Linked DNA regions of Caenorhabditis elegans. The protein of the gene in region 2 purifies or fractionates together with the protein of the main gene of each other region. This does not show direct contact. Each region holds a gene or a part of one and is shown on either strand. Other genes may lie near its edges.

The links.
Region 1: the proteins of sams-1 (region 2) and hphd-1 fractionate together in Caenorhabditis elegans (co-fractionation; one large-scale study listed by BioGRID). This does not show direct contact.

What each region holds. Positions count from the first base shown.
Region 1 is NC_003280.10:12,993,805-12,998,326, forward strand, and holds hphd-1 (Hydroxyacid-oxoacid transhydrogenase, mitochondrial), read right to left. Parts: upstream 2,541-4,522; 5' UTR 2,444-2,540; intron 2,393-2,443; 5' UTR 2,389-2,392; coding exon 2,277-2,388; intron 2,202-2,276; coding exon 2,134-2,201; intron 2,085-2,133; coding exon 2,002-2,084; intron 1,948-2,001; coding exon 1,356-1,947; intron 1,305-1,355; coding exon 993-1,304; intron 943-992; coding exon 825-942; intron 776-824; coding exon 663-775; 3' UTR 558-662; downstream 1-557. Other genes in the region: Y38F1A.7 (uncharacterized protein), read right to left, coding at 3,240-3,500, 3,763-3,848, 3,898-4,000; Y38F1A.8 (Serpentine Receptor, class T), read right to left, coding at 4,296-4,486. UniProt on the Caenorhabditis elegans protein: Catalyzes the cofactor-independent reversible oxidation of gamma-hydroxybutyrate (GHB) to succinic semialdehyde (SSA) coupled to reduction of 2-ketoglutarate (2-KG) to D-2-hydroxyglutarate (D-2-HG).
Region 2 is NC_003284.9:11,964,395-11,970,430, reverse strand, and holds sams-1 (putative S-adenosylmethionine synthase 1), read right to left. Parts: upstream 4,470-6,036; 5' UTR 4,404-4,469; coding exon 4,335-4,403; intron 4,282-4,334; coding exon 4,098-4,281; intron 4,044-4,097; coding exon 3,251-4,043; intron 3,204-3,250; coding exon 3,038-3,203; 3' UTR 3,025-3,037; intron 777-3,024; 3' UTR 538-776; downstream 1-537. Other genes in the region: Histone-lysine N-methyltransferase set-6, read left to right, coding at 1-124. UniProt on the Caenorhabditis elegans protein: Catalyzes the formation of S-adenosylmethionine (SAM) from methionine and ATP.

The DNA of each region.
Region 1 (4,522 bases), on a different chromosome or scaffold from region 2:
CTTATCAATTTTTCAAATATTTTAAAAGCCATAAAAATATTTTTTTAAATTTTTAGCAAAGTCTCAAAATCTAAGTTTTGTTTTCAAAAATATAGAAATTTTAAAATTATTTGTTAAGTTTAATGTTAGAAAAGTTCGTGATGACATTAATGATAATGAGATATGAAAATTGACCATTTTGCCAACGAATTCCTAAAAAAATTCAACCTTAAAATATGCCAAATTTCCAAAAGAACCCAGTGTATCGCCGTACCTGGTCTCCAAAATCCTGCTATTCTCGACAATTCTCTCAAAACATACATAGATCCTTGATAACAGCCAAGGCCAAAAAGCTTTCAGCAACAAAATTCAAATATGCCGGCACGCCGCGCTTCAAAGGACATTCCTACGATTGTTTGCGTGTCGCGTAGTAATGTTTCTTCGTTCTTCCCCGCCTCTAGTCATCCCTAATTAGTACAGTAAGCCGGCAATATTTAAACGGTTCCTTGAAGAAAAACGGGGGGGGGGGGTGAAGGATTCTAATTATTCTGGTGACACCTGGCGCCATTGTTTTGTTTCTGTTTCTGTTTCTTTATTTATTCTAAATACATTTACATTGAACATAAGAAACAATAACGTATATGGTACAACCAATAATAAAATAAGTACAATAAGAAAAATGACTAATAAACCGTAAGGGACTTCTCGTACAGAGTGCTGATAATTTCACGATCCGCAGACTTTGGAGAGATTGCAATATTTGGGACGGAGTGGCTGGCTGCTTCAGTAAGCATTTCTGAAAATAGTATAATATAAGGCAGTTCAACTAGAGAGAGGTGTTCTACCAATATCAGAAAATTCGAATCCCATTCCTTTCAGTCCATTTGGAACTCCAAAGTCTCGCATATAACCTCTCAGCCGATCACAAAGAGTTCGGGAAATGTACTCATTGCTGGCATTGTTCTGGAAATATCTAGTTAGTTCAGAACCATCTTGGTGGCCAATTTACATACCGGAATATCTGCACCAAGAGTCTGTGCAGAAATCAAATGTCTATCTGGGCACGCGGCAGTTGTAAACTCGAAATCAGCCACTGCGGTTGTCATTACAGAGAGTCCATGTGGAATCAAGTTCTTCTCCTTTGGATAATCATCAGCCACACAGCTTTTCGCCTGGGAGCTGATTGGGTAGGAGAGTCCGTGGCAAAGATGAACCCCAGCGTTTCCGAATCCAATCCCAGCAAATGAACTAGCCTTGAGCATTTCTGTACGAGCTTCTTCGTCGGTTGGATCGAAGATAGAACGGCGGAAGTATTTTCCAATGATCTGAAATTATATAAATTCATTTAGAGCTTCATGGTTGAAATTCCAACTCACTCTCAAAGCCTCTTTACTCCAGACATCACTGATCGGGTTGGAACCTTGATAAAGTGGACGAACTCCTGGATTCTCAGGGCGTGGAGATCTTTGATCGAATGGCAAAGCTGTGAAGCTTTCCAACGCGTGACAGAGAACATCGAAACCAGAATAGATTGCCACGTTTCGAGGCATACTCATCACATTCAACGGATCCACAACTGCCAAGTACGGCTTGATGCAACGAAGTCTGATTCCAGTCTTGCACTTGTGCTCTGGAAGATCCATGATTGCAGCCGCGGTAGTCTCGGATCCAGTTCCAGCAGTTGTTGGCACAGCGATCAATGGGAGCATTGGGTTCTTTGGTTGCATGGATTTTCCGAATGGTGGTCCAACAAAGTCGAGGAAGTCCGCTTCTGGATTAGAAGCATATAGAGCTGCAGCCTTCGTCGTGTCGATCACAGATCCTCCACCAACAGCGATGAAACTATCGAATTGCTTCGATTTGGCAAATGCGATTGCTTTCTGCATACTGTTGACGGTTGGCTCAATGAGCACATCATCAAACACCTCATACTCGATATTCACCATTTTTAAGGCTTGCTCGGCGTTTCTAAAATTTGTCTGTTGAATAATTTTAGAGCTTTAAAGCTTTCCTATAACTCACTTAAAAGCGATCGTATTCTGCACATTCTTATCAGTGATAAGCAACGTTTTCTTTGCTCCGAGATTACGGACGTCGTATCCAATCTGATAAAGTTCACAGTTGAGTTAGTGATGTGTGATATTGCTAGCAAACCTCCAACGTGACTCCTTTTCCGAAACGAAGAGTTGAGCACACCATCTCGAACGCGTAATCTGTTGACTCTGAAAATATTGGTTTTTTAGAAAGTTTTCAGGCAGGCACGCCTACCTGCGTGCCTGCTCGGGTAAAAAACTAACTGTTATTTCCATGAAGCTTTGCAAGTTTGAATGGATTTGTAGCTGGGGCATGGTGAGGACAGCATGAGCCGCCCATCTTGCTCAGTATTCCACGTGCCAGACTTGCACTCATTTTGCTGAAAAAAAGAAAAGTATAAAACAATTGCCACGTGCCAACAAAAACTCACAAATAAAATGTCGTAAACGCAATGAAATCGAGAAATAAATTGATTCGTAAGGTTTTTATTTAAAGAATTTAATTTTTAAATTCAATAAATAAATCGCGCCAACAATAATTATTATCACGTTTATGTACAAACACGTGGAGAAATAGAGAAGAAAACAAGTGGAATGGAGGAGAGAGGAGAGACGCAGACGGGCAAACAGCAGTGATCAGTTTTCGAACATTAATGTGAGGGGAAGATGGTTTGATCTGAATAGACTCGTGGGCACAAAAGTTGAAATTTTGGCTTGCAAGCTAATTTCAGCTTTTGAAATCTTGTTTTTTTTTTCAGAAACCAGCAAGATGTCGGCTGCTAGAGGCGCTCCAAAAATTAAGATTTACAGGTTTCTAAATTAGTATTTGAACCCGGAAAGTGTCGGCTGCAAGACTATTCTTTCAGTTGTCTTGGACGGGCCGACGTCTCACGGGTTGCTGAAGCTATGAACCACATGAGCTCAGTTGCTGGTAGAAGCTTGTAGTTGTAATCTTGTACGAGATTCGAACTCGGAGATTAGTAAGAGTTGGAAAATGACAAATTTTAGATCATGAAGAAAAACAGAAAATCGCTAAATTTGTCAAAACGTCTCTGAAATTGGCAGTCTCCCCCGCCCTAGATTTTTCAGGATTCCAACTTTTCTCATGGTTATGGCTGTTTTCAGCCTCCAAAGTCATTTATTACACATCCATAGTTTACAACAGAAAAACACTAGAATAAACAAAAAATAAAATAAAAACTAGACATCGAGTTCACTTCTGAGCTTTCACGGATTCGCATTGTAGAAGACATTCTTGTTCGGCTGCTCCGCTTTTCCAGGTGGCGCCATTGCAATGTAGTGAACCATCGGAGCAAGTTGCTCCGGCTCCATCAAAATCTCAACTGGTTTTGGAGCAGAATCACCTGCCTTTTTCGGATCCTTTGGCAGAGCAAATGCAGATGAACCATTGGGGTTTTTGTCGAATTTCTCCCGCAGCTCGTTGAGGGCATACTCGGTTTTTGCCTTGTAGTGGAATCGAATGAAGAGCTGGAAAAGAGAGAATTAGATAGATTTTTGGTAAAATTTTTTTGTGTGCATGAGAAACGCTAGCCTATGTGCCTACAGTACGTGCCTGCAATTGTTTAAAAAAGGAACAAGAACTTTTGGATATGAAAAACGTAGAAAAACGATAAATTGTAGTTCAAAATATCTCAAAAACAAAAATTCCTGCTCAGGCGTCGAAGGCGTAGGCAAGTAGGCAGGCATTTTCATATTCCACAACACAATAATCTTGTAGCCAGAAACTCACATGAACAGCTAGAAAAATGACAATCATGACCAGGATAATAGCCATAAAAACGTCAACTGTCTCCTGAACTTGACCAGTCACAACACCTACAATTTTCAGAACTGTTAGAGTATGAGATATTGTGGACAAGCTCACTCAATCCATCACTGTACGGGCCATTTTGAGGATCTGAAAATCCAAGGTTTAAGATGTTGAAGTCCAGGAGTTTTGGCTCCAAGTCGAGCAGTAGTGGCTCCATAATTTGTAACTTTTTTCAAAACTCACAATAGCTATTTCTGACGAAAGTGAGGTTAGACATCCTCCTCGAATTGTGAAAACTTTGGAAATACATTTTATTTCCATTTATTTGGATATATCCACGTCAGATTATTTTTGTTGTTCCAACTCATTCTCTTCTCAAAATATAAAATATTTTTTAATACAAATTACACGTTTTTATTCACTGATTGTAAAATTGTAAACTATATGTACAAACACTGGATTGGGGAACCCGTTGAAATCGAGGTTTAAAATCTACAGAAAAAATAAAAAGTTTAGACGAAATCCTTCCGAGGTAATGCTGGAGCCATTTTCGTCACTGACTTGTCAAGCTCGTTGAGATTGCGCTGCACACTTTTGATTCCGATTGTGATGCGAGTTTTGGGGAATTCAAAGTAGGCGATTGAATAGAACAAGGAATTACAGCCAACTTCAATTAGTTCAGCAAGCGAGAAGAGGTTGTAGGCTGAAATTTTTATGGTTTGAAATTTGGAATTTTTCA
Region 2 (6,036 bases):
TCGGGTTGATCCATGTGTATCTTTTTCAAAATATAACCTGAAATGGAGGCGACAATTGTCTACAGCGACTTGTGAACGTTTGGAAAACGTTATTGAAATTGAACTGTCCGACGAAGATTCATAACTGCCATAAAATATGATCTAAATTTTAATATTTATGTAATAATTGTATCAAATTTGCTCTATTAAGCATGCACTTCATTGCTGAACTTTGGAATTTAATATTATCAGTTAATACAGTTTTACATATACAGTTTTAAAATAGTGCACTACGAATAGAGCAAACCAGATGTGTGACAAATATTATTTAGTTATGTTGATGTATTTATAGTCATTATGAATTTATTTAATGTGCATTTATATAATACATCGAATAGAAAAAAGTTTTGAATGAAATTGTGTGAATTCTAAAGCTTGTAAACGTTTGGAGACAGTATTACAATAATAAGTGGCAATAGTGAAGCGCCAGGCAATAGTGAAGCGCCAGACTGTACGTTTGGCTAAAATGTCATGTTTCAAATTTCCTCACCTGAGCATTTTTGTCGTTGCCGGTTTATTCATCCAAACGGTTAACATTTTGTACAGAAAAGCAAAAAAACATGAGTCTTCAGGTGTAACAGAGAGCATAATATGATCTTATCGATGGGAAAGTGAACTATGTCTGTGTTAAAATTGAAAGAAGAAAATATTGCATTTGTCACGTAGCCATCGAGTTATTTTAGACGTGATAGATTAAGAAACAAAGTGAATGCATTCATAAAGTTCGGATTCTCGCTCTGAAATAAAGAGTAAATTTATTATTTGCATTTTTCAAATTAAAATCAAAGGATTTTAAATATTCGATGTTTTGTTCTAATCATGAACAATAGTAAGAAGAAAAAACGTGAATTTATCATTTAATACTGATAATCTCACCTGTTGATGATCATTCTGGATTGCGAGGTGTCTTTAAAGATATTTAAGTATTTGAAAACTCCGCTGACTCTTTTCAAGCAGAGAGTCAGTCGAAATGAACAAAAGCAAAGTTTTGAAATCAGTTTGCCTCTTTGTATAGATTTGTGAAAATAGTGAGATTATTCTCATTCCTTACTTGTAATACTATTTTTGAGCTCTTTTTGTGTCTGCGTCTATGGTGTCAGGTGATATCCCATAATTATTAGCTTCGAGAAAAATAGAAAAGGAAAACACCACTAGAGAGGTTTTGACGAAAATAGAATGTATTATTAAAGCTGGTTTTTTTTCGAGATTTCGTATTTAGATATTTTCGCTAAATAGATTTTCCTGAATTAGTGTGACGTGGATATGATGAATCGAGAGATATTATGCAAGCTTTGTGGAATTTGTGGAAAGCAATCACGATGTATTCTCAGCACTAGATACAAAATGAAGTTATCATGATTAATTCATATTGGAATTGCTTTTTGTTGTTTGGAAAACAAAAACACTTCAAGAAGAATGCGAAAAGTATATATTTTGAAAACATTGTAATTATTTAAATTGAACAACGTTCAACGTTTTAGAATTAAGTTTAACAACAATGAACAAATAAATCTCCAAAAAAGTTAAATTTTTTAATTTAAAAGTTAATTTTTTTGGCAGAATTTTAATGTTATTTTTAAAAACGAGCAAATTAGTCGAAATTGAATAAAACTCTTACATGCAAATTAAATTTGAAGTATTGAGTGTAAACAACTTCAATAACTTTTTGTGCGGAACGAAACCTATTCACAAAAATACTTACTGCATCTCTTTCGGTCTGATGTTGAAAAATTACGGACCAATTATCACTATTCTTGAAATCTGCCGAAAACTGGAAAAGTTTCTATAATGTGGCAAAAGTACGTAATAAGTTAGAATCAAGTATTTAAAAAAGTATATTAATATCTTAGTAACACCGTTCAAATTTTCTGGCAGCTAATTAAGTTACCAGGTTATTGCCATGAAATTTTTTGTCGAGATGCTGAACCGAAAAATGGTTGCATCAGGAAATTATGTAATTGTGGTTTGGCATTAAACGATATCTCTCTAGGGCGTATTTTGAGTTTCCATGAAGCAGTTGAGCTTCAAGTTTTCAAACATACGATAATGTTTTCTTTTCATGATGTCGAAAGTTTTTTTTTTCTGTAAATTACATTTTATCAAGTTTTTTGTCTCATTTGGTCTTTGTGTCAATTTCACCTTCTTGGTTATCTTTATCAATGCGGGAGCGTTTTACGACTCACCCAGTCTTATCTTGCAGAAAATCTTTTTTCTTTATCATCCTTAGAATGTTTGATGTTTCTTATTTTCAACACAAATTTCGAAAAATTTATATTTTAAAACTTTATTTCCCAAAGTTAAATGTCAAGCATAATTATGAATGGAAATAAGCAATTCAGTGAACTACCACCGAAGGATTATTACAATTTAACAAAATATGTATTAATTATAACCAAAGATTTGATGGTGCTTAAAAATCGTACGATACCACTCAGTTGGTGGCAGTTGAGACATTGAGCAATGAGGAAGTTATGAGAAAGGATATTTAATACTATGTAATTGGAGAAAATATGTTTCGGGCATTAGAAACTGTCAAGAACTATTTTTTTGCGTTGTGATGTTTTTTTTTAATATGAATTTTTTGAAAATGAAGCTATTCTAAAAGTCAAGACAGCTCAGCGGGTAGCGGAAACCGGGGACTTAAAAAAGAGAAGGCACTGTTGAAAAATGCTCTGAAGAGTGCACATCATCAGTGAACAGGAAGGGACAGAAAATTGGGGGATCGCATCAGAGTAAGAGGCTGGTGGGGGAGGAAAGGGAAAAGGTCAAAATACGTTAATCGTTTTTTTTTAAATACGGCGAGGTGTTGGTCATCTAGCTGAATTGAAAATGTAATTAGTTGCCTAAACTTAATTTAATACTCTAACTTGTTTTTTTTTTCAGTTTTTTCAAGGGGTCTATCCACAAAATCGGACTAATTTAAACTATTGGTGCCTAGCATACAATAAAACGAGATTGATTATTTAAAAAATAAGTTTTGCATACCGAGGCAAAAAAATTAGTGAGCGATAGCAGATGTGGCTGGGATTGGGTTTCCCTTGGCCTTCTCGAGAAGTGCTGGAGAAATCTTGAGAGCTTTTGGCTGCTCCCATGGGAACTCAGAGTGACCGAAGTGACCGTTCTCGGCGGTCTTCTCGTAGATTGGTCTCTTGAGGTCGAGCTCCCTGTAAAAAACCAATGAAATTTCTCCTATCTAGCTGTATTCACTTACTTGATAATTTTTCCTGGGGTAAGATCGAAGGAGTCTTCGACGATCTGGTGAAGCTCTTCGTCGGTGAGTGGGGAAGTTCCGAAAGCATAGACCAAAACTGAGATTGGCTTGGCGATTCCAATAGCGTAGGAAAGTTGGACGAGGACGCGCTTAGCAAGTCCAGCCTTGACCAATGAGGTGGCTACCCAACGGGCAGCGTAGGCAGCAGAGCGATCGACCTTGGTTGGGTCCTTTCCAGAGAAAGCACCTCCTCCGTGAGCTCCCCATCCTCCGTAGGTGTCGACGATGATCTTACGTCCGGTGACTCCTGCGTCTCCCATTGGTCCTCCAACGATGAAGGTTCCGCATGGGTTGATGTGGAAGACAGTAGACTCGTCCAAAAGAGAAGCTGGGATGACCTTCTTGATAACATCAGCGAGGATGGTCTCGCGGAGTTTCTCAAGAGTAACATCTGGAGAGTGTTGGGTAGAGACCACAACAGTGTGAACGCGGAGTGGAATGGTTGCTCCGTGGCGGGACTCGTACTCAATGGTGACTTGAGACTTGGAGTCTGGGCGGACCCATGGAAGAGTTCCGTTACGGCGGAGCTTGTGAAGCTCAGCGTTGATCTTGTGGGAAAGAATGAGAGTCAATGGCATGGTCTCTTCGGTCTCGTCGGTTGCATATCCGAACATGATTCCTTGATCTCCTGCTCCGACATCTTCTCCGTCCTTGTTGACGTGAACTCCGGCAGCAATTTCTGGAGATTGTTGCTCAAGAGCAACAAGCACGTTGCAGGTCTTGTGGTCGAATCCTGAACAAAAACATTGAAACAAGCTAATAATAAAGCAAGATTCTATAAACTAACCAATGCTGGAGTCGGTGAATCCAATCTTTTCGATGACACGACGGACGAGAACTTGATAGTCAACAACAGCCTTGGAGGTAATTTCTCCGCAGAGCATAACCATACCAGTTTTTGTTACGGTCTCGCAAGCAACCTTTGCATTTGGATCTTGCTTAAGATGAGCATCGAGAACGGCGTCAGAAATCTAAAAAAAACAGAAATAGATAAAATTAAATAAATAAAACAAAAAAAACTTACTTGATCGCACATTTTGTCTGGATGCCCCTCGGACACAGATTCACTGGTGAAAAGGAATTTGGAGGACATTTCTGAGTTTTAAGACTGAGAAGCGATTTAGAATGGCTTGTTCGCACAGTCGGACACTGCCCTTATAAAGAACCCAGCGATATTCGAAGGCGGAGTCACACAGACAACCCAGTTTTTATCTCTGCGTCGTCCGTACTCTCGCAAGTCCTATCTTTTTTGACTGTTTCACCACTTTGATGTTATCTTTCTCGAGAGGCAAATGAGAGGAAATGGCGACAAAGAGCGATCAGGATTGGATAGGTGGAGGGTTGTGGTGACAAGAATAGCATGGTGATTAACATTTCGTGATTATGATCCACGTTTAGTTGGTGTCAGCGGTCTAGTCAATTTTTCCTTTATCACTCCGAAATCTCTTACCACACTTGAATTATGCTAGGATGTTTGGTTCTTCTGTAAAATATTTCGCTTTTTAAAAGTTGCCCTAAGTTTCAATTTTTAAAGAATGTGCATAGTACAGGAGTGTCGAATATTCTGACTAAACTCAAATTTTCGACAGGTTTTACAGTTCATCTTTAAGAGCTTTATGTAAATTTAATAACTTTATAATTCTGGCTGTCTTGTAAAATCACATTTTTTCTACGTGATCTTTGTTCAAATCGGTCATATATACATATGTTATTTTTTCAATAGATGTAGGTACACTATTTGATAAAAACGGCAACGTGAGTTACCCACGTGGTTTTCTTCAACTGGTTTTATGGCGGGATTGGTCAATTTCAAGGTTTTGTAGAGAAGAATAACATTTAGGGATTTTTAATTACATTGAAAATCGGTACTTGTGTATTTTTTCACATTTTAAGAATTAAATGTTATTTTCATTAATTGAATCAATTAAATGAAATGCGATACACATTTTTTTAAAGGTTTAGAAACTAAGTTTTTCTAATCCTGGAATACAATGTATTCCGCACGTTTTTTTTTTTCAAAAGTTCAAGTTTTTTAGTGGAGTTATAATACACAAATTCCGAAAATTCTTATATGAACTGTGAGTTTTCACTATTTTAGTTTAATGGTATGAAAGAAAAATGTGAGAACTATAAATGCTTTTCTTGTAATTATCATGATAGAACTATTGGTCAAAAATGCTGGAATTTTTGAGAATGACTAGAAACACATCATTCTTTCGTCAGTTCCCACAGACAATATCTTCTTTATCTCATTATAGAAAAAAAAACTTGGTCATCGTTGCAAGCATGACATAGAAAGATCACAATTTGATCTAATATCAGTCAATTACTATCGTTCAATTTCCATGAAAAAGTAATGTCTTGTAGCATGCCTGAGTCTATCATGCCATTACCCTCATCGGTTTCCCTCTAACTGATAACCACCGTTTGAACTACCATTTTGGATGAACCGCAACGATTTTTATTTTGATAAGAACCTCGAATTTTCTATTAACTTTTTTAGGGGATCTGCAAAAAAAAACGCTACATTCTTTGTTTTGGTATTTTGAACTTTGTTTTCTTTTTGGTGAACTATTTACTATTTTTGAGATGATTTAACAGATTGATCTACCATTTTTGTCTTACAGTCTTTTCTTTGCTCTTAATTTTTCGCAGAAGACAATTGTTGTGGATGTCAACTAATTTTATGTTTTATTTGTGTTTCAAGACTGAACAGCAACACAGTT